Drosophila melanogaster: one gene and its partners. The protein of the gene in region 2 purifies or fractionates together with the protein of the main gene of each other region. This does not show direct contact. Each region holds a gene or a part of one and is shown on either strand. Other genes may lie near its edges.

The links.
Region 1: the proteins of mtSSB (region 2) and Tango2 purify together in Drosophila melanogaster (affinity purification with mass spectrometry, with the first as the bait; one large-scale study listed by BioGRID). This does not show direct contact.
Region 3: the proteins of mtSSB (region 2) and Ho purify together in Drosophila melanogaster (affinity purification with mass spectrometry, with the first as the bait; one large-scale study listed by BioGRID). This does not show direct contact.
Region 4: the proteins of mtSSB (region 2) and TfAP-2 purify together in Drosophila melanogaster (affinity purification with mass spectrometry, with the first as the bait; one large-scale study listed by BioGRID). This does not show direct contact.

What each region holds. Positions count from the first base shown.
Region 1 is NC_004354.4:13,614,505-13,620,722, reverse strand, and holds Tango2 (transport and golgi organization 2), read right to left. Parts: upstream 3,735-6,218; 5' UTR 3,290-3,734; coding exon 3,148-3,289; intron 2,910-3,147; coding exon 2,787-2,909; intron 2,622-2,786; coding exon 2,321-2,621; intron 2,127-2,320; coding exon 1,670-2,126; 3' UTR 1,516-1,669; downstream 1-1,515. Other genes in the region: CG2691 (uncharacterized protein), read left to right, coding at 1-130, 189-379, 451-985, 1,058-1,160; tth (toothrin), read left to right, coding at 4,743-5,047, 5,304-6,218. UniProt on the Drosophila melanogaster protein: May play a role in Golgi organization.
Region 2 is NT_033777.3:16,202,340-16,207,816, forward strand, and holds mtSSB (mitochondrial single stranded DNA-binding protein), read right to left. Parts: upstream 2,912-5,477; 5' UTR 2,898-2,911; coding exon 2,877-2,897; intron 2,810-2,876; coding exon 2,722-2,809; intron 2,664-2,721; coding exon 2,555-2,663; exon of another isoform or gene 2,405-2,554; intron 2,350-2,404; exon of another isoform or gene 2,198-2,349; coding exon 1,975-2,197; 3' UTR 1,876-1,974; downstream 1-1,875. Other genes in the region: CG6126 (uncharacterized protein), read right to left, coding at 452-494; CG31287 (uncharacterized protein), read left to right, coding at 1,096-1,254, 1,309-1,611, 1,669-1,875. UniProt on the Drosophila melanogaster protein: Binds preferentially and cooperatively to pyrimidine rich single-stranded DNA (ss-DNA).
Region 3 is NT_033777.3:11,677,156-11,682,375, forward strand, and holds Ho (heme oxygenase), read left to right. Parts: upstream 1-2,587; 5' UTR 2,588-2,715; coding exon 2,716-2,872; intron 2,873-2,928; coding exon 2,929-3,434; intron 3,435-3,489; coding exon 3,490-3,717; 3' UTR 3,718-3,821; downstream 3,822-5,220. Other genes in the region: CG18476 (uncharacterized protein), read right to left, coding at 1-194, 250-662, 730-861; Taf12 (TBP-associated factor 12), read right to left, coding at 1,397-1,717, 1,789-2,058; CG6830 (uncharacterized protein), read right to left, coding at 3,833-4,047, 4,108-4,474, 4,530-5,020, 5,080-5,220.
Region 4 is NT_037436.4:21,596,042-21,602,711, reverse strand, and holds the start of TfAP-2 (transcription factor AP-2), read right to left. Parts: upstream 3,857-6,670; 5' UTR 3,431-3,856; coding exon 3,374-3,430; intron 1-3,373.

The DNA of each region.
Region 1 (6,218 bases), on a different chromosome or scaffold from region 2:
TAATCCATCGCCGGCTGAAGATGATCCGCAAGCGTACGCGCAGGGATTTGCGCAAGAAACAGAACTTGGAAGCGCAGGAGGATAGCTCCGATGATGAGCTGGTCAGCGGTCTGCAGGAAAAGAGCTACACGTAAGCGTTTTTCATACACAGTAATTACCCAAATAACTAAAAAAAATCCCTTCCACAGCATTGATGATATGCTAGCTGACTCCGATTCGGATCTGCCCGAAGATATGGACGCTAAGGATGAGGCCGGAGCTGCAGCCGCAGCTAGCAAGCGTAGCAAGAATGCTAAGCAACAGAAGAGCACTTACATTCGCGAGGATCCCGATGAGATAGTCGATTTGGCCGATCTCAAGTCCATTGGCAATGTGCTGAGTAAGTTGAAGTCGTTTGAAAATCGCACAAATCATCACTTTTTTTGTTTCTTTGCCTTTGCCCCACTCCAGCCAGTGGCTCCGCTCAAACGGCCACCCCTGCCCAGAGTCAAAAGACGAAAGCTCAGCTGCCGAACGGTGGCTTCAAGACTGCCGACGATGGACGCCTGATCATCAGCGACAAGGCACTTCGTGGCCAGGGCGGTAACGATCAGTCCGATGACGACTCGGATTCCGATGCATCCATGGCGTATGGCACTGTAGCCAAGCAGCCCAAGGTTAAGCGTGGCATGGAAGACGATTCGAGCGACGAAGATAAACTGCAGCAGAAGCTAGTACCCAAGCGTGTACGCAAGGGTGATGATGCGATGAGCATGAAATCGGGCAAAACCACTGCCAGTAGTCGCTACACTGCCGGTGGCAAGGGCATTCATCGACAGCTGACAGCTGGAAACTCGGATGCCATGTCCGTGAAGTCAGGCAAATCCACCAGCCGCCCAGCGGGCAGTGAGTACGGCAGCAAGAAGGCCAAGGGTGATATGAAGAAGAGCGGAAAACTGGATCCATATGCGTATATACCACTCACTAGGAATAACCTGAACAAGAGGTGTGTATCCAAAATGTTTAATATTATTAATATACCCGTCCCTATCTAATACTCCATCTCTTTCGCCCCCAGAAAACGTTCAATGAATTCGCGAAAATTCAAGAGCGTATTGCGAGGAGCTGGCGCTGAAAATGGAGGAGCCGGCGGTGGCCGGGTGTCCAAGAAATACAAATAGGGCAGACGATTCAAGCCAACTGGCTAACAGGCTCGTAAAGCTATAGAGATATAGAGATGTATAATAACACTGGGATAGTGCGGTCTGTTGATAAGGAAGCTAAGACGTTGATGATTATTTCCCCTGTTACTTTGCTTAAATATATAAATATAACTTAATATATATATATGAACATGTGGAGACGTTGTAAATGCCACAGATAAAGAAAAACAGAAACAGAATAGTTATGTATTTTTTTTTTTTTTTGTTTTGATCTGCAAAGACTTTGAATAAAGAATTTTGAAAGCAACATAGTTCGATGCGTGGCAGAAAGAAGAGCAGTAACGTTAGATTAAATCCACACAAGCTTTATGTTCTTTAAAGATATAGTAAATATGACTATTTATTATCGCAAATGCCAGAGTCAAAATACAGATTGGTAGAATATTAGCCAATTAGGTTATTCTACAAAAGAGGAAAGTCTTCGAACGAGATAGTTGCGTCAAGAAGTTGCGTCATCCTGTCCGTGGTCAAACGCCGTTTTGAAAATCCTTTTCAATGTGGGTCTTGTTCCATTCGCCGTGCGGATCCAATCCAGTCATTGTCTCCTCAATGAAGTGCATCTTATTCTCGCTGTCCACCAGGACAACGGAGTGTGTACGGCTGCCATAGGCATGCTCTTCGATATGGACGTTTAGGGAACTCAATCCCTCGCCCCAGTTGGGCGCACGTGTCTTTAGCTCGTCGTCCGGCCAGAATTTGTGCTTGTTGCGGAGCAACTGCATCAGCTGGGCGGACAGAGTCTCCACGCTGGCTTCCCCATGAGCCTTAACGATCGCCTCGAACTCCTGTTTGCCATGACGCACCTTCTCGAACGGAGAGTGCGGCAGACTGTTGCCAAATCCGTAGCACTCGCCGTTCTGGAAATCCTCCAGCGTGGGCGGCACATTGCTCAGCAGCTTCACGCGAGCGGGCTGGGATGCAGATCTGTTGAGAACGAAGGCGTGCAGTAGATGGTATCAATGTTTCGCTAATGGTTCCCTAATGTTATTGCATATTATTCAGAATTTATACGTATAATTCGGAGATAAAGACAGCATAAAGCAATATATGTACATACTAATATGCATATAATTAGAATATATAATAATTCAGGTTAACCTGAATGGGCGCAGACTCACCCAATTTCGATGGACACAAAGTTGAAGGCAGAATACTTGGTGCAATCTTTGAGCAGCCTTTCGTTGTAGTTCAGGATGCTGTGCTCCTCGTCCGCCCGGGTAACATAGTCCGCCACAATCATGCCGCGCCCTAGTAAGAAATGTTCGTTATTCGATTGCCCCCTACTCGGATTCGTATTCGGGTTCTGAATTGGATTCGGATTCGGATGACGGTAGCTGTTGGAGGTGGTGGTCTTGGGGCAAAGGTTAATGCCGGTGCTGTTGCTGTTGTGATTATGCGGTTGCAAAATGTTTTTGTGCGCTTCAAACAGAAAACAGAAACGAAGAAAGTTTGTTTTTGCTTTGCTTTTTCTTTGGTCGCGGTTGTGAAAGTTTTAGTTCGGGCCAAGTGTTAGGTGTATGGATGAGTGTGTGTGCGTGTGTGTGCGCGTCAATTTGGATTAGTAAGTAGCTCAAATGGGTTTACCAACTGCATCGCGTGGCTTGGGCTCGCCGGTCAGATTGAGCAGGGCGCCCACCTTAAAGAAGCCAGCGGAGTGGCCGATCGCCAGCCAGGTGCCGCCCTCGCGTCCCGGCTCCAGATCGATCCCTGAAATGGGGGAATACATAAATATTTACTCAAGTTGATCCCGCACTCATGGGTAAGATGGCTTGAAATCCAATTAGGTTGCTGGGAAACAGATCTTGTGAGAGGTGTTCATTCTAACAAACTGCTATCAAATCATCTTAGTGACTAAACTATAGGTAACATCTTGATGAATACAAGCTCTCAAGGATTATACTCCATCTAAGCATAGGCATTCAAGGGCATAAGCCCCACCACTTACCTCCGTAAACATGATCGGCATTCGCCCACTTGGCTGCCGATAGGGTGGCGCGGGCAAAGAACTCGTCCCGATTGGAGGCCAGGATGAGCTTGTAGCCACCCGGTTGCGGATTCGAGTCCGCACAAAAGAATATCACGCACATCGTCGGAATCCTATACTTATTTGGCTATTGTTGCGATTTGTAGTGCCTTGAGGTTGTGGGACAACTGCGAATGGGATCCGGAAAAGTGGGCTTTAATCTCGGTGGGGCGTCGGTATCAAAATGGCAGGTTGTTCGGCTCAGTCTTCTCTTTGTTACTTTGTGGCAGTGGAACTATAGCGCCGGTTTTATCACCAAATAGCCGTACGTACGTACAGCTGATATACAGTCTTATCCGTTGTTTGCGAGACCAGCTAATCTAAGTGGTAAATGTAAATGGTTTGGATTGGTGGGTGTTCTCTGTGAGCCGTGCCTCTATGTGATATATACATATCTACGGGGCAAAAAGCATTCCCGTTAACGCAAACAAAGCAGTATTTTCTGAAATTTCAATGACCGGGTTGCCTTGTTTTGATTTCTCTTTTAATTTTGTTTTTGTTTTGTTTTGGCGTTGCCAGCTGACAGGAGAATCGATAAGAAAATCGTTAACACTCTGCTGCCCTGTGCAATATTCTTTTAGCTATTTTATTAATTGCTAATTATTTATTTGTGCAGTCTATGACTTATCTTAATTTGTACTTTTAAATTTGAAGATTTTAGTTCCTCATCGTGCGCTGAAACAATGATTGACCAATATGATTGTGTAATTTATTTCCAAAGCCATATATAACGTATATATAAACATATTAGTTTTTTTTGTCGCCTGTGCCGATCCAGATAACAAACTACTATTTTGAAATTGGCGTAACAGGTAGGTAGGCATTATCGCCAGTTGCCCATCTCTATTGTATGACCGTGGGCCCGGCAATCGATTGGCTTACAACTTATCGATGTTTGAAAACTAACCAAAAACCCTGTAACATAGGCTTGTAATTAAAACTAGAAAATACCATTACATAGCTATGCACTGCAATGCATAAATTAACTAACAGACCTATACAGGCCCTTAAATTGGTAAGAAAACTGATCGCTAAAATTAAAGCGAAAGAGTGGATTTTTTAGGACAAAAATACCGGTCGGTCGAGAACATTTGGGGGGAAAATCATGTCGCCATCTGGTAACACTGGCATTCAGCAGAGCAGTGAAAACGACGTTAATATTTCTGATCAATTAAACAATTGGAAAATCCGGCCGCAGATCGCGATCTAAACGTATCGCCCTCGCCACGCCCACTGCCGCCCACGCCCCCTGGCGCGGGGTCACATCGATAGAGAGCTTTGCGTGTGTGTGTGTGTGCGTGCGTGTATGTGTCGGTCGAGAGGAGAGGTGGAAGACGAAGAAGAATAAAAAAAACAGGCAGCGAAAAGCGATAAGAAACGGAACACAACACACTGGAAAAAAATTGCGATAAGAAACGGGGCGGAGCGGAGCGGAAATTGCCAAGACTCTGGGATGGATTAGCGGCACAGCCGGACTCTGAGGTTAGCCAACAGTGGGATTAGGACCAGGAACAGCCATGTCCTCCGCCGTTAACATCCAGATCGTCTCTATGCCGAATCTGGCCAAGATCGAGAGCTTCCTGAAGGATGTCAGCTACCGGGAGACGATCGAGTACAGTGCCAACTTCAACACGCGCCTGTGCAGCGAACGGCGCCACCGGCTGCCCTTCCTCGATCCGCAGACAGGCGTCGCCCAGAACCACTCGCAGCTCTTCCTGGACAAGCGACAGCGGATGCCCGGCTTCCGGCAGGGCCAGATCTACACGTATCCGGCGGCCCGCTGGCGGAAGAGCCGTCGTCAGTACTTGAGCAAGATGTACAGGTGAGGAATCGTAACCAATCGGTGCGGGATTTGAGTGACTGGCACATGCACAAGGAAAAGTTAGGTATAACTCTGGCGAAGCAAATTAGAGCTTGGAAATCTAGGAGTCTGTTACCTATGGTAATCTTATTTAAAACGAGTTAGGTTAGAAGAATATCATCTGTGTATATGCCATTCAATCTCATCAAATCCTACATTTTTCGTTGGGTGAGCTCCATATTTATCCCTGCTAATAACGAACTTTCCACTTATACAGCCGCTTTCCCGAGCGTCCCTTCCAGGCGCTACGCAAGGAGCACGAAGCTCTGGTGGCCAGCGGCGTCAATCTGGGACTGAGCAGCCTGACCAGCGGTGTGGGCTCCATGCCCGGCAGCAATAGCCTGGCCAGCAGCTCCTCCCTAACGCTCAATATGCTTACGGGCGGCGGAGCCGCGCCGGCCGTACTTGGTTCCCTGCACAGTGACACTGCCCACGATTTTAATGGAGCCTTCAGCCTGGAGGAGTCCAGCTCGCTGGGTGCCGCCGGCGGTGATACATCCGACAGCAAGGACAGTCAACAGCAACAACATCAGCAGCACCAGCACCAGCAGCAGGCCGTCAAAGAGGAGCTTTTGCCCAAGGAGTGGTTCTACGATGACATGGATATGAACGATGTGGACTCGCTGGAGGAGCCCAAATCGCCGGCGGATGATGAGTACGATTATGATCCGCGCTATGGTAACAAAAAAAGGCGCAAGCGGCGACCAGGCAAGCGAGGTGGAGATTCCGGCGGCGGTGGTGGTGGAGGAGGCGCCGGCGGTGGCGGCAATTCCGGCGGTAGCTCCAGCTCGCGGAGACGCAGTGCAGCGGCCAGGTCGCGTATCACAACGACGGATGCGGCGCTGGACGCATCGCTGGAGGCCATTGAATCTGGCGAGAGTGTGCCAGGCAGCAATGGAGGACCAATCTCCAGCGGAGGCATCCTAAGCGGCAGCCTGGGAGCAGGCTTAGCGGGAGTTTCGGGATCCGGCGGCGGAGGAGGAGCATCGGGAGCTTCGGCCAACAGCCGCAGATCGCGGGGAGCGGGAACACGTGGCAGGCGACGAGCCAAGGGGCCAAATAGCGCCGTTGGAGCGTCTTGCGATCCGACAAGTCCCGGCATGGTCATCGAGCCACCATCCTTCGAGAGTGC
Region 2 (5,477 bases):
ACTTGGTATGGTATATAGTCAAAAGGGGAGCAACAGGTCGGAGTCTCTATCAAGCTGTCATAAATGTCTGTCACTTGGTGGCCTCGACGATTTATTAAATTAAGAATAGTGCAAAATGAAAATGAAAATAGTTGCAATTAAAAAAGTATTATAGTCGGCTTCTTTTGAGCACTTGACGTGACGGACAGCCAGCCGGATAGATTAGGCGGAGATTAAAAGCATAATACGGAAAAATTAATTATAGATTTTAAAAGCAGAACAGAAGGTTGGGCGGTAAACCTCATTGGTCGTCGTGAAACAAAATATTATCCATAGTAGCTTGCAACGCTGATAAGACCTCTCAAAATGATAAGCATAACGCCAGGCTCTTATCAGCACGGGATGGAGACGCCTGGCAACGTAACAGCTGACCTTTCAAAAGTCTTCGCTCCCAAAAGCCCATTCCACTCACCAAGTTTCCCCATCAGGTCCTCCAGTACATAATCCACAGCCATGTTTGATTTTTTATTGATAATCAAAAATAAATGAAAGTAACTGTTTGCTATTGCTTCTTAACAAATCGTCATCTTCTGCAGAAGTGGAGCATGTATGAATGGCACACCAGTGCAGCACTGCTGATAGTTACGGGTCGCGAAGATGCAAAACGAATCCGGGATAAACAACGTGCTCGAGTGAAACAAAATCGCAAACGGAGCGCTCGATCAGCTATCAACTCTTCCGACCGCCGGCAGCATTTGAACTGGCAAAAACTAACTGCGAACTGTGTCGCTCAGCGAGAAAACTGAGTGGTAAATGGCGATAAGGTCGCTCCAAGCTCGCGAGCGAAGAGAGCTTGTGGAGGTCTCCAAAGTTGGGAACTAAAGAGCAAACTCTGCTCGAGGGTAAGAGCTTCAAAAACTGTAATCACCATTATAATCCTTGATGTATGAAAATAAATGATGCCTCTTGGCAAGGATCCCTTAGATTAGAATACGATCAGAAAACTCATACCTTAGCAAGCTTTGATTTGCCTAACACTCAGTGACAAACAAAACATAAGTCACAAAAACACATACAAAAAATACATAAAATTCATTTAAAGTTAATTTTAAAATTATGTGTGAGCCAAACTTATCAGATCCGTCGACATTCCTGTACTTGGATATGCTGGCGGATATTTTAATGCAGGACAGCCTTGAAATGGAATCAGATTTCAATACCAAGTTAAAATTTCTTAAGGAACAGGAACAAATTTGCCTAGACAATGCCAAAAATGTGAGACTCAATGGCCATAGGCAAACAGGATATAAATTTTTCATACTCCAACAGGCACTTCCCATCGATGATACCCTGAGATCAGTAAAGTGCACCATGCTTAGGGTAGAAATGGAGCTGCATGAAAACGAGATTAACCTTATACAGGCGGAGAAAGCAGTTACGAAATTGGAGCAGAGCTATCCGAGTCCTGAGAGTCTGGCAGGCCAAGTGTTTCCTTTGGCAAGTACCACATATCAGGATTTGCTGAGTATGCTGATGTCTTCGAAAAAAACAGTCGATCATTGCAATCAGATCAAAGAGGAGGTCGCGACGTATAATGAGCAGATATCCGCAAAAGTACCTTCCGTAAATTTGGTATGAAATGATGACTAAAAGTTGTATTTAGAGTTTCTAAAGTGAGTGTATCAACAGGTAACCAAGCTTATCGATTACCACAATAATACACTGGAGTCTATGGAAAAAAATATCGAAAAATTGAAGAGCCAGGTCACACAAGTTCAAAAGGAGTTCGAGCAGCTTTATAACGAACATGCACGCCAATTCAACGCACCGTTCCCATGCAAAAAGGTCAAGGAGTTAAAACCAAAAGACACATGTGGAGTACGACTACGCATGTAATCTGATAACACAATATATCCAACGAATATTATAAATGCTTACAATGCTGCAAGTTCAACTTTTCGCTTAAGATTAGGTTTGGTGATCTGGGCTTAAATTTTAGTTGTTGGCATCACGGAAAAACAACACATCGTCGGCTATGATACTGGTGCTAGTCTTCTGGTTGCCCTGCTGGTCGGTGATCTCTCCATAGGTGATCTTTCCCTGCACCATGGTTCGCTGTCCCTTCTTCAAGTATTCCAGCACGGTGTCACGCAGATTGGGCTTGAACACCACTACACGATGCCAGTCGGTGCGTTGGGCCCAGTCGCCGTTCTCATATCTGTGGGGAAATATTTAAGACTTCATGAATGCTTTTTAAATGAAATGGTAGCTATTTTCTTTATGAAATCCGGCATTTCATGGATCCTAAGAAGAAATTGATCACTGAAGTTAATTGAACAAGGAAATGTACACTATTGCCGTTATCATTAGGTAATTACATACAGCAAATGTTCTAATAACTCATTACATAAATCTGAATTAGCAGCTCAACGTGATATTTTCTTGGAGGTTAAGGCTAAGAACTAACTTAATTGTCAACATTTATGTAGCTTTTTTATTTCCCTCCTCTGAGATGTGATTTCAAGTTCAGTTGCAGACGCATGCTGGGCGGCAAAACGCACACAAATGCACTTACTTGTAGTTGGTGTGTGTAGCAACCGAAAAGGTGACCACCGGATGCTCCTGGGATCCACGCAGCTGCGGATCGGCGCCAACTCGTCCCAAAATGGTCACCGTGTTGACAGCTGTGGTTATTTATTCAAAATTAATTCAATTTCATAACTAAACCTAAGAAATACTCACTTTTTTCAACTTTGGCGGGAGCCGCTGCCGTTGTTGTTGTTGCCCCGCGTGCCGGCAAATTTCGCAGGCCGGTCAACAGAGGATTCAGCTAAAAAAAATAACATGTTTGTTCATTGTATTTTGCAATTTACCGGCTTTTTAATAATATTACTTACCATGCGCCTTGTGTGTTGCATCTTGATTGTATTAATAAAATATCGATGTATCGATGATATTTACGATATGTAAACTTTTATCGCGATAGTTTTTAATACGAAATATCGCATATCAACATTATTTCTTATTTTATATATTGACTTGAAATGCTACTCGCAAGTATATAAAAAAAATGTTTTTTTATTATTATTTATTAATTTTGGTGTATAAATCCGCTTTTGGAGATTGAATTCGCCACACGGAGTGAATTCGCCGCATATTGTCCCTTGCGGAATACAAAAGAAACTATCTAGTTCAATCATAGGCCAAAAGAGGACGTTAGCGGTCAGCTGTGTATAGTTCAAAATAACAGCCAAAGGTGGCGATGATACTACATTGTATAGTTGCTTATTTCAACCAAAAGGTGGACGCACACTAAGCACAACTGATAGTAGGCAATTTCCATTAGTTCACCATCTCAATAAGCAAATGCTGAGGGCGCCACTGTGACCTCTTTGATTAAATACTTAATAAATTAAGTACTTATTTCATTTAAAATAAGCTAAGGGTTAAGAAAAAGAAGAAATATCAATGATTTCATATCAATGTAAGTTGAATAAGCTGGACATGTAGTGTTTTCGGTACAATTATAATGTTTAGAAAAATAAACTTTATTTAAATTTGTATGCACGCAAATTGTTTACATTTTTCATAATATAAGAAATTTTACTTTAGTTCCCCAACCCCTTAATTTGTTTTTTATTCAAGAATATACTATCAAAAAAATAGTATACAGTGTGCATCTAAACATTCACTCAATAACGCAAATATAATGCACAAAGATTTCAACTTTACAACCTCGAACAGGATGCAAGAAAGACAGCTTAAGCTCGCTCCAACCACGAGTAGTCATCATCTTGGCTTTTTTGAAAATTAGTTACCGGCTGGCGGCTTTGTTTGAGCTGCAGTTGCTGAGGAAGAAGAGCGAGCGGACAAGTGTCCGTTAGTCGGGTGCTAATAAAAACCTGGACACCCGAGAGGCGTCCCCGAAACGGAGCGGAAGAACAGAATCACCATTTTTATATTCGCATTGCTCTCGAGCCGATGCTGCTGCAATTGCTGCAGCATCAACAGCAACGACAACATCACAAGCAGCAGCAGCAGCAGCAGCAGCAGCAGCAATTGCAGCAAGAGCTCTCTGCAACTCTCGAGTTTGCATTCAAATTCAGCTCAGGCGATGAGGATGACGACACACAGTCCGCGTCGATGTAGCTGCCCCAAGAAAATCATATTGCCGTCCAGAGTCTCTTAACTGCCCTCCATCTGCGTCACTCGAGCAATTCTGCGGAGCTGATATAATGCTGCGCAGATATCGCGGTGGATTCCCACTTATTAATCATATCGCGATATGTTACTGCAGAATTTACTGTATTCTAGGAAATTTTGAAATGGGCGTGTTACATATTATTTCAATCGGATCGAAGTTAAATTTTTGAAAATTGGGCCGTTATTGCTATAAGATTTCTGTTTTCGAATATTTATTCCGTGAATCAAATGTTTGTATCTTTTTATACATTCCCAAAAATATTTTAGTTTTTCCCCCAATGCCTATATATTTATATTCAGTTGCTACCTCAAAAATAAATAGATTTTAAAGTGTTTGCATAGAAAACATTGGGTTATTTTAAAAAAACCACCTAAGCCTATATCAGAGTTAACTCATTTCAATGGCGCGCTTTTTGAAAACCCAGATTTCCTTCATGATTGTTCCCCAAAAAACATTTGCCCAACAAGATCCAACCCCATACTTTTGTATTCTAGCCCTCCGTCCGTATCTATATCTGCAGTCGTAGCCAAACCGAACACGGAGCATTGTGCCCGTCGTTGAATCCAGTGCGCGTGTTGCTGCGACTCTATATAAATATACATTCGTACATATATGTATGTATGTACGGGGCGCACTCATATAGGAGGTTTGTGTTGTTGCTGCCCGGCCTGGCACTGTATCTGTATCTATACACGAGCATGTGCGCTCGTATCTGTATCTGGTGTTTGGGGCTCCGGCTCTGAACGCTCCGCACCGCGATACCAACAAAAACGAACGACGGAACGTACCAGGCAAACGAACCAGCGAACCAACGAACGAACGAGCGAACGTCCCAAATGTCGCTGCTTTTTCTATATTTTCAGATTGTATAGTAGCACGGCTATAGAGGTTGGCGGGTTGGAGGTACTGAAGTGGTTGCTGCTGCTGCTGCTGTTGTTGCTATTGCTGATGATGTTGCTGTTGCTGTTGCCGTTGGCGTTGGCCTGGCTGACTGGGCTTGTCGAGGACGTTCGCTAGATGGCTGACTGGGTTGGCCTGGCCGGCTCTTTGGCTCTGCCGTGCTGTGTGCGTTTGCGTGCCAAAAAGCGAGCGATGGCAAAATTCATATGTGCGCCTTATAGTTAAACTATAAACGGCAGCAGCATTCCGGCAACTTGCAATGCTGCCGCGGTCACTGGCAATAGCACTGTTTGCTGTTCAGTGCGAGACTGCGCAAAAGGAGTCGAGCCCCGTGGCCAAAGGATTAAAGTCATCTAGAAGACTAAAAAATTTTGAGTCAAGGGGATCGCAGTGA
Region 3 (5,220 bases), 4.5 Mb from region 2:
CGCTGCGGCTGAACTTGCGAATGCAAAGGGAGCAGTCATATAATCGAGTTTCTGGCTTATGGACGCGCATTTCATGGCGTTTCAAGAAGTCGAATCGTTTAAAACTCCTAGGGCAGTCGTGACATTTATATACAGACTTTCTTCCTGTTTTCCACTTTTGAATGCGATTATACAGTGGCAAATTATCCAGGGAGCTGCAAGATTAGTTAGTTAAAATAAAGTAGTTGGGAAATTCCAATTGTCACCCACTCTTCGTCTTCAAAGTCCGATGTGGGATCGTCATACGCTGGCTTCTCCACGCTTCTGGGTTCCATTTCCAGCTTCACCGTTTCAATCATGGTCAGTGGGTCCACCGACTTTTTGCTCTCCATGTCCGTTTCGTCCGGTTCCGGTAGTTCGGAACAAGTGATAGTAACATCATTTTCGCCACAGTCCTCATCCTCAGTCTCCAGCTTGACTTCCACATGCTGCTCAGCACACAGCTCCATCGGCGCCTCCTGCAGACAGTCGGTTGACGTTGGAGCAGCACCGTTCTTTAGATGCTTCATTAGAAGTTCGTTGGCGGCCATCGCCTGCTTCACATAGCAATAGGCACCCATTAATTTTTTGGTGCATCCACTGCACAAGCATTGCGGAAATTTCTGACTACCAGTTGCATCCAGCTGAAAGGTAAATGTTTCATTTTAGTTTGCATTTTTCGTAGATTTCGCTTCTTAGAACTTTGTTTACATTGATTTCGGTTAGCTCGCATAAAATCTCCGAAAGCAACTTGTCCGGATACTTTTTCGAGGGCGTGGCCAGCTTCAGAAGGTTGTCGGTGTCCGTGGAGTCGCACGTGCGACAAATCACCGGCAGCTTCATGGCGAACAAATTTGTTTTGGCCAATTGAAAGCTTTTTTAATTTTAAATCAACAATCAGAAAATCAACATTATTGATGGTATGACCTTGATGCGAGAGATGGAAAATACCGTTCGGTCATTAAAAAAATACCACGTTGTTAAAAAATACAGCAATTAATTGGGTGCGTTCAGCAGAGTCCGCTAATTATTTTCAAAGGGAAATATTACACAAATATTTTTAAAATAAACTGAAGAAATTGTTAAATTATGAAAAATATAAATCAATATCCACCAGACAAACAATTAATACAAATATTACAGAACCATTAGAAACTGTGATTAAAAAATCACGACTTAAAATTTACTGCTGACGGTGACCAATTGTTGAATGTGAAATCAATAGTGCACTTTTATTACAATAAATCTACAATAGAGCGACGATAATTTGTTATTTAATCTAAATTGGAGCTTAAATTAGTTTGTGGCGTGTGCACGTTTAGCATACGCGAAATCCGGCAAACCGAAACAGAGCCTCGACCCGATTAGATCCAATCCTCTAGTATTTCTTGATCGTTTTCCGTATGAGGGCAAGGCGCTGTTTGTGCGCCTCCGTGACAGCTGCCCGCTTGTAGGGACGCAGTTCGTCCGTACCGAAGCCGGGTATCCACATGTTGTACTTCCGCTCAAAGTGCAGCTGCACGTCGCGCACCTCGATCTTGTTAGACTTTCGGTGCTTGGCGAAGGCGCTCGTCGACTTGACGGTGTCCTCGACAAAGTCGTCGATGATCTGAAGCAGAAGCTCCTCAACATCCTCGTCCAGCTGCGTGGTGGTATCCACCTCTCGGACGAGCTCTGTGAGACGCGGTTTGGTAAGCATCTGTAATTCGGAAGAGAGTTAAACTAGACCCTGGCGTATTCCGTGTGCACTCCATAAGGCACGCATCTTACGGGAGTGTTCTCGGAACCGGCGGCGGATGATGTGTGATTGGATGACTTGCTACCACCAGATATGGGGCCCGTTCCCGTACCCAAACCGGAAACCGGTCCGCCGTTCTGCGAGGATGAGTTGCTGTTGTTGGTCATCGGACTGTGCTGGGAGGGCGAGGCCATGGGTGGGTCGTGGAGCAGTCCGCTGGCGGACGATGTGGAGTTGTGGTTGTGGTGCAGGTGGTGCTCGGCGACGCCGTTGCTATCGAAAGTGGTAAAGAGATCCGACATTGCTTTTGGGTTTCTTCAGAGTCAAATCAAGTGGGTGGTAGGTCGGTTGGTTGGAAGTGTTTGGGGAAAGTACAGTAAGTTGGGCGGATTTTTGGGGAGTGGGTAAGAGTGCAGAACCAAAGCCAAAAGCGTTAGTGTACTTGTTGTTGTTGCTGCTTATGTTGTGTGTCCTCCTGCTTTCTCAACTGCAGTCGGTGATTGTGTGTGCGTGGGTGTTTGGTTGCAAAGCGAAATGTAAGTAAAAGAATAGAGTGGTCAATTTCACGCGTGCGGTCTTAAGAATCCGTCGCTTTGTGTGTTTACTAAAACTAAAGTGTTACTTAGCAGTTGCTCTTAGCGCATGCAACACTTACAATTATTGCGGTTTTAACACTTTGATCTTAAACTATTACTTTCCTAAATTACTAAACAAAATAAAAATAAGCGGAGCAACTACAGCCAAATCAACAGTATGGCCAGTTGCAGGCGACTCTGAAATGCCCGCTGGTGCTATAAAGCAATTTGGTATATTTACGTTTAATTTCAGTATATTTTAGTTAGACAGCCACACTGGCGTGGAGTTCAAAACAAAACAAAGACGGCGTATTTTGCAAATATCACGTAGATAAGGAATATATTTTACTTTGTAATTGGGAACAATAGCTGCGCAAAAGAAACATGTCAGCGAGCGAAGAAACAATAGCGGACAGTCAGGTCTCCGAGAATGTGGAGGATGTGGAATTCGTAGACATGGCGTTCACAAAGGAGTTGCGTAAAGCCACAAAAGATGTGCATAATCTTACTGATGTTCTAGTGAATGCAAAGATCGCACTTGGTTCGTTAATTACACGATATTATTAGAAGTTATTAGATATTCCTCTTCTTCCATAGCCCTTTCTGATGACGAGGTCTGGTATGATGGACTCCTGGCCTTCTACGAACTGTACAAATTCTTTGAGACCCATCTGCCGGAGCGCCTGCTGCCCAAAGAATTCCACAGAACAGCGGCATTTGAAAGGGATTTTGCCTATTTCTACGGTTCCGATTGGAGGAAGGACTACGAAATTCGCCCGGCGGTCCAGAAATATCTCGAGCATCTGGAAAAGATTGCCGCACAGAACGAACTCTTGCTGTTCGCCTACTCCTATCAGATGTACATGGCTTTGATGTCCGGCGGACAAATGTTGCAGAAGAAGCGTATGATCGCTCGTAAAATGTGGATCTTTTCAAAGAACGATGACGAGGAGCAGCAGAAGCAGGCCGACAAGGAGGCAGAGTTGGCCACCGCCAGAGCTGCCGATGGCTCTGTAGACAAAGACGACTTGGAGGCCAGGCCAATGCCTGCCCAGGTTACCATTTGCCCGCCGGGATGTGAGGCCACATATTTTCCTGAGAAGGTGCGTAGCTTTTTACTTTGTTCCTTATATCTATTGTCTTTATATCCACTTTCAGATCTCTGTCTTAAAGGCCAAACTAAGGCGCGTTTTCAACAATCACTACGGAGCTTTTGACGATGATTTGCGTGCTGCTTTTATTGAGGAAAGTCGCAACGTATTTCGCTTAAATATAGAAGTAGTACGGACCATCAAAGGTGTGAATCGTGCCAATCTTAGGAAGCTGGCCCTCGCACTAATCTTTGTTTCAAGTATTGTAGTGGCCGTGAAATTTGCTCTCAAGTAAGAAAAGTAGGAAATACAAATGTAAGCTCTCTTGAGCAAGTTAGAATTGTGATCACACATTTATTTAGTCGTTTGTTAAATAGTAAATAACCTGAAATTTGTCTGAAGTAAAGTATTTATTGGGAATGTCCGTTGGCAAAATTATCAAGCAGTCCTCGTCTATTTATCCATGGCATGACACGCTCTATATTGGCCCTATAACGTTCGTTGCTAAACATTGCCTCCCTCAGGGATTTGCCATTCTCTTCATTTCCCAAAAAGCTATCAGTGGTAAAGTCATCGGTTGTCTTGTTAAGACACATCGACAAGGTAGTGAGCACAGTTCCAGCAGCTTGAAGAAAAACATGTCAGTCAGAGGAATTTAAAAACCTCAAATCCTTCTGTAAATTACCAAAAATGGGGTGCTGTATCAGAATGGCGTGCAGTTCCTTTAGCGAGGGAATAAATCCGTTGTAGTTCAACAGCTTGGCGTGCTCCTTCATGTTTTGATGATACCATCGGATAAGGTAGTCAAACTGATCGACTTTGATGTCCAGTTGAGTGGAGCTCATTATGAAGTAATACAGATCCTGGGCAGGATTTCCATACTTCGTGACTTGGTGATCCAACAGGAGGGTTTCCTTGACGCGACCATCTGATTCGTATTGGAACATGATGTTATTTATCCAGGCATCACCATGATTGAGCACATTAAACGCTTGTTCATTTATTTTGGCATCTTCAAGTATTCTGTCGACATACGTATCCAAGATCTCTGGCTGCAAAATATGATTTTGTTAAGTTAGTTACAAGGAATAAAGTAAAGTGACTTACCATTTTGTGCAAGTACTCATCCACACCGTCAAACTTGCTCACTTCTTCTATAAAGGATTTCTTAGTGTTAACAAACATACCCTTAAATATAGGTGCCGTTTGCTCTGTAAAAATGCCATTATTGTATTTGGGCGAATAGGGTCCATTTAGTTCCTTGTACTTCAGAGAGGCTGCATGCCACTGGGCCAATTTCTTTAACGTGCACTTGGAATGCTCCAAGTCCATTCCAATCATGCGATCGACCATCTTGAAGCCACTCGGCTGCAGGTTCTCCAAAAGCAGGTACTCCTTGCTGACGTCCTTGCTGAGCCGGAAGGACTTCGGACTAAAAGTGACTGGTAGGCCAACATCCTTATAGAAACGCTCGAAGGCGGGCACATATGTGCTGTAAACCTCTATCTCTTTTGGAAACAGGTTAAAGTCGGAGAAGTTGATTGCGTCATTGTCGCTGTGGACTTTCAGGATGTACGAGAAGGTCTTCACGCTATTGTCTGTAGATGTGAGAAGATTGGTTATAATATTAAATATTTCAGAATTTAAAGTAGTTTACCTTTTAACTGCGCCTCGATTTCGACCTTCAGCAGCTTGGAAGCAAAGTTGTCGCCAGGTTTCGTCGCCAACTTTGAAGTACTGCTTAAGATCTTTTCGAAATTTGGTTCCGCGGATAAAATGATTTCCTTGAAATCGTCAA
Region 4 (6,670 bases), on a different chromosome or scaffold from region 2:
GTATTTGCGGAGCCTGCTCGGCCAAAATCGAAAAGCTGCGTCCCATCTTCTAGCGTGCAGATGACGAATAGAAGAACGACGAGCCGAAAGTGCCCACTTGGCGACCATGCATGTGCACTGCGAGAAAAGGTCGAGAGTGTTGTAAGAGAACCACTTTGTTTATGGGCTGCTGTATAGTATGCAAATTATACGATATGTTACATGAATCTCCGTATATAGTATTCACTACTAATTATACATAGGACTAAGGTTACTTCGTTCTGCAAATTGAAATATGACCATGCGATAAACTTACATATATGTATTGCTTTTTAATACTATATTATACTATTATAAGATAAACAAGAAATATTGGAAACTATGATTACAAGAACTCCACATGCACTGGCATTGTGATCTCCTTTTGAGCTCCTCACAACCCAATGATTCTCCCTGTGTAGCTTCTTCCGAACTCGACTGAGCTAAGCTCGGCTCGTCCGTTTGCAATCTGCGTCCAAAGGGCCGGCTTTCGATGCAGCAGCCTCGTGAGCCAACTGCAGGTCTGGCCTCCCCATCCTCCACATTCTGCCTCCGAGGAGGCAAGGCCAACGCATGTCGGCCAACCGATGATTTCGCTCTTGCCTTGGCTTTTGGCATCGGACGAGGATGTGGATGTGGTGCTTTGCACGGCTTTGGTTTTGGTTTTGGTTTGCCACGAGCCTAACACACGCCGTCCACATCGTCGAGGTTCCGACACTTGATTCTGGATTGTGCTGAGGATCTTGGCCACGTTATGAACATTTACATTTATCTTGCCAATCAATTTGGTTTTGTTTGGACTTTTTAATTTCCTCTCCGCAAATGAAATCAATTTTGATGCGTGCATATGCAATTCCAGTTTCCTCCGAGGATGTATCTGCATGTCTGTGGAAGCGGAAATGCCTTCCAGCGGATGCAAAGGACTCGGAATTATCTCGCCCGCACTGGCGAAATAATAAATATGATATGCGAATATGCAAATATGAACACGGATCGGTCTTACACTCTGATCCTATCGAAATTGTTTCATTCATCTTATTGCGAGTTTCCTCTAGTTCCATTTATATAATTTACTTTTAATCAAGACTATAGTATTCCTGCATCTGGAAGTGGGGGAAAGTTTAATGGCGCTTATTCATTTCTTTATGCAATCCCTAGCCCTGCGCACAATTACCATACCAACATGCCTCGCAATCCTACAAAGTGCACATTGTAAATTGGAACAATTATTCTAAATTATAAAGAAATTATTCAATAAATCATAAGGGAAGCCATCAATCAGGCTTTGAGCCCGAACCTCTTGGATGAAACGGAGTTTGGCTAATAAATAAGCCCAATGCTGAATACTTTTTGATATTTGGGAGCTGGGCTATGGGAACTTTTCTGCCAGTCTGTATGGCATTCTTTTTTTAGTTGGCGATCGCACGCAAATTGACGATGCGTTGCGCTTCAATCTCATAAATTATTTTGGCAACGCATCACGCGAGTGTCCCAGTGGGATCTTACCTGATTTGGGAGTCTTCGGAGTGCCAGGGACAGGTCCAGGACCAGTACCAGGACCAGCCAAACCAAACCAAACCAAAACCAAAGCTAATGCCAACACACTCGACATGCCCACTTTGCTGGCGGGACTCGGATTTTTGTGGGCGATGACTTTTGGTCTACCTCTTCGCTGTGTTTTTGTTTTGATCTTTGGCCCTTGCCCCGCAAATTGCCCTATTTTTTTATCGGGCATCGAAAAAGTTCTTGGAAGCAAGAACACCATATAATTTCGCTAATTAAATGGGGGAGCGTGTACCCACGCATTTCAAGAATTCCTCCATATTCGCATTTGAATTTTGACCACTGACGTCTGATCACTCCCACCGCCGTCACTTTTTGCTCTCTGCCTCGAAATCGTGAGTGCATTAAATGTAGGACCTTTTTTACTTTCAGATACGGTTTCCCTCCCATAACGCACATATTTGAAACAGCCAAACCGCTTAATTTGAGGCTTATGTCTGATGATACAAATACTAATACTAAGAGTACAAATCTTATAGAGACTTTAATCGAAATAACATAGAAAGCATAACATGGCTTTCTCTCTTGGATTTACATTTACAGTTATAGATATTATAAACGATCAAAGACTGTAAATATTGTACGATAAATTTGTATATGAAATTTAAAAGAAGATTAAAAAGATTTCAAGAATCATTACTCTAAAAACAGTGGACTTCATACACATACATATACATATGCTAGCTACAGTTTTAAGGTTCGTCTTTCCGACGGCTACTTTTGCCGTCTTAAAAAATAAATGATTCCAAATTGCCCGTTCAAAAAACAGAATAAAATTAAAAATGAGTGCAACTAACATTGCATCCTTTAAGGGTATGTTTCTCAATTACAAGTAAATAAAATAAGTTAACAGACCCATTGGCTTTTTCAATAAGATTTTATATTCTTTAGTCTTGTCGCCCTATAATATTTGAATAGAGAATTGCATTTAGTAAAGAGTTTTCAGCCCAAGAAAACCTATAAGGATACTGGGAAACTAAAATTAATACTTTGATACTGATCGAACATTACCTAATCTGAATACGAATATGCACATTTGATTTCGATTTGGTCCATTTGTGTCCAATGCATCTCGACTAGGATAACAAAAAAAGCAAACTGACTTCTTGAATGTCTGATTACCATAAACAAACACCGTTTGTATTCAGGTTTTAGATCCTGACTTTAATAAAATTTTTAAATAGACTCCTTGAGGTTTAAGACTGCCTACTTTAAAAAGTCAATTTAAATTTGAAGATGCATTTTCAAGGTTTAAGACCTCTAATTACAAGAGAATTGCATGCGCCTGTGATCGCAGTCTGCTTTCGGGGCCCCACACCCTCTTGGGCACTTGAGTGATCCCCGGACTCTTGGAGTGGGCACAATCAGGTTGAAGTTTATGTACTTATTATTCCCAGAGCAGAGTGTGCCACACGGAGTCGCAGGAGAACCCATTACTGTAAATTGCTCATTGATTTTGCTGCTAGAATGGCCCGGAATGGTAATCAGCTTGTGTGTGAATGTGAATCACGGGCGCAGATCTCTCGGTCCGGATCGCTGGCCAATGGTCGTAATTGGCCAATGGTTTTAAGGCTTGCGTGCCCCAAAATGCCCAAAGAAATTTCAGTGTCAATCAAGCTCGTCCGCCCATGGGCACTCGATGGTTCAATATCTTTGAGTATTTTGAGTAGCTAAAGCTGCGCCGATGCTCGGGCGGGGATTAGCCTGGGCAGATTTCGGCTGACAGACAATTTGGATAGATAGACCCGACCCTCCTCCGATCGAAGTATCCTGCAAAAGGCGCGCAGCTTACCATCATGAACTTCTGATCCTCGAACTGATGGTCGTTGGTGCGGTGTAGAATGTGCATGTTGATCCAAATTAGACGGCGATATCAACTAGTTGGAGAGCATAGGTTTTCTTTTGAACACTTGGGCCAGGGCCAATGCAAAACAGGTACGATCACTAAATAAGTATTTATTGAAAATCGATTTTTGGCACTGGTTAAGGCAACTGTGGGTGCTGGAGCTAGAGTTCCGTATCCGCCGCTATATACACTGCACTCTCCCCGATTGAAGGACAATAGACGTGATTTAATTGTATTTGAACTAATTTGCAGTTCGGATCCACGATCGTTTCGGTTCGGCTAGGTGCGGATCGGTTCGGAACGGAACGGAGCGGTTTCGGTACGGTTTTGGTTCGGTACGGTTCGGTTTGGTTTGGTTTGGTTAATTAAGCGAGGACCCGCAATCGAAATTCCGCCTTTGCGCAGCCACCAGACGTAGTTCTCGACTGAAGTTGGATTTTCTGGTTGGACGCAAAAACCTTCGGGGGATGTGCGATGTTGCCGCTGCTGCTGCGGCGGCGGCTGCTGCTGCTGCTGCTGCAGATGCTGCTGCTGCCGCGGCTGCTGCCGTTTTTTCTCCCATACAGCTGCGAAATACATAGGAAAAGTGCCCAAAGCCTATGCCCGTGCGCCGCGCGTCTGTATGGGTGTGAGGCGCACACAGATACGCCGGGCAAGCAGGTTTTCTGGCTTTCGGGCATCGAAGAGCGGCTTCCGAAGAGAGCCCGCCGCCCAAAGAGAGCACAGCCATTTATATTTCGGAAGCCACGCCCCGCCAGCGGACTACTAGACAATGGGCCGAGCCCGAAAACCGAAAACCCAGAGGCTGCGGCAGGCAGCGCAGCTCGCGTACAGACACACAGATGCGGATACACAGCCACACTGCCAGATGCGGATGCTCGCGAGATGCGAGTGCGATACGGATACGAATACGAATACATAGGGGTGGAATCGCATGCGAATGGCCGGGGTTGGCGACGCACCCGTGCCCCGAGGGTTGCTGGATCTCTGAGCCCGGGCTGCTACTGGGAAAACCCCGGCATTGGACGCCCAAATCGCCAGTGGTACGTGCTCCGGGTTCTTTCTTCTCTCGGGGATTAAGCGACCCACCTATGTATGTATGTATCTACGTACTTATCGAACGTTCGGGGGTTGCCATGTGAAAGAGGCTGTCCGCCCGATTTACATATTCTACATAAAAATCTACCCATATATGTAAGGGCGTGAGTGTGGGTCCTTGCTCGCCATAATCAAAACAAACTGAAAATAGCAGATTTTTATTTTTTCTATGGCTGTAGCTTTCGAACATTTGAGGGTAAAATTTTTGTAAACGATTAAACAAACGGAAAATCAACAGCAGGCCACTTCGCATGCTTAAAGATTTCTAATTTACAAATTCCCTTTTATATATAACACGATAGAGGAACTTAGGACAATTAAAGCACTCTTTAAAATTAAAGGTTCACTATAAACAAACTATTTTGGCTTGCCAATGAACTTATAACAAGCAAACTTCTTACTTGTGTCCCGCTTTAATAACCTTTATCTAAATAGTATAGTTAGTTTTACAACGATTATAATTAAAAAAATCGAAACAAATCAGAAAATTAATTTAAGGACAGGTGCTTCACAACTTCAAATCAGGAACACTATTATGTTTCACTAACTTCAGAGCTATAGAAGTTACCCATTCTGATGTTTTTTAAAATTAAATATTGATAGTTAACTAATTAGTCAATTATTTGTTAGATTTTTATAAGTACTTCATGAAACAATTATAATAATAACAAAAGTCAACGACTTTTCATATGCGAAGCCATAAAAATATAGTAATAGAGATGAAAATAAGGAAAAATTTTGGATGGCAAGAAAATCGATTATATGATATTGTTAAGGCATCGAAATACTTTTTGCAAACTTTAGTTCATTACTCAAACTCATGAATATAGCAATAAGGTAATGAAACATACTGAAAATTCTTATTCGTCAATATTGTTTTGTGTCAAACTATCCAAAAATATGGACTTTGCAAAAAAAGTTTAATCAATTAACATAAAATACAACCATTGCCACCGTTTAGACCAGCAGACCTTTTTATAAGTTACATGTGTTAGTAGGCCATAGAAATCAACAAAGTTGGTTAAAGTGTGAAAGTTGGGTTAAAAAGGCGCTGACTTAGATAAGTCTTGAGCACCAGGAATAAATCTTTAGTATCAACGTGGTGTTCTGTATGAATCTCCATCATTTGAATTCCTTGTTCTATTAACCACGCTGAAAAGCTGAAAGTAAGCGTCGCAATCCTCAAGAGACATTCATTTCATTTATTCCTGCTTTGTTTTCAGGTTACACAATTAGATCCGCCAGTAAGCGGGACAAGGATTAGCGGCTGTGGAAAATTGAATCACTCGGCGGATTGCCCAACCCGAGCTTTGAATGTTTGTCCGCCCCAATTGAATTATGCCATTAGCTTTCTAAGTGACTCAAATGGATTCGGGCTCCTATCTTCTGTTGCCAGGGGAGCAGAGCAAAGTTCAGCCGAGAAAGAAGGAGCGAAGCTCGGAGGAAAAGTATATCGGGCACGCAGTCATTAAGTCCGAATTTGTGGCAGGGCGAAATGAGATGTGAAACCGTGATCTCGCCGACTGCACATGCACATTATGTACGCGGAGCCACTCACGAAGCCACCTCGGAGGAGCTGGCCAAACAGTAAATTTCGTGGAGTGGAGTGCAGTGGAGTGGAAGCGGCGATCAGGTGCATTATCCAATTGCGGCGGTGGAATGCCGGACGACCCACCTCCATTTCAGCGATTTCATTGCGGCGGCACGACTTTTGATTGCGGCCACGACAAGAGAACGATCGATCGATCCATCCATCCATCGATCGATCGATCGATGATCGGTCCGCCATTTTCAGACCCGATTCGGATGCCGAGGCAAAGCCAAAACCGATACTGATACGGATACTGATACTGATGCACTGCTCGCATTACCAATTAATTCCCAGTCCTCCCCGCAGCACCGGGCATAAATCGTGATGCACAGTGGTCCGTGTGCCCATGGTAAATGCACCCAAGTACACCTCTGTGCAACTACCAACTACCGACCCGCACACCTACACCATTGCAGCCACAATTACATCCACGTCCTCATCCACATCCACATCCCAACCCATACCAGTGCACTCCCGAAAATGGCAGCTTTCTTTGAGCCAGTCATAAGCTGGCTCTTAACCGGGAGGCTCCTAACCCAAGAGCCGAGGAGCTG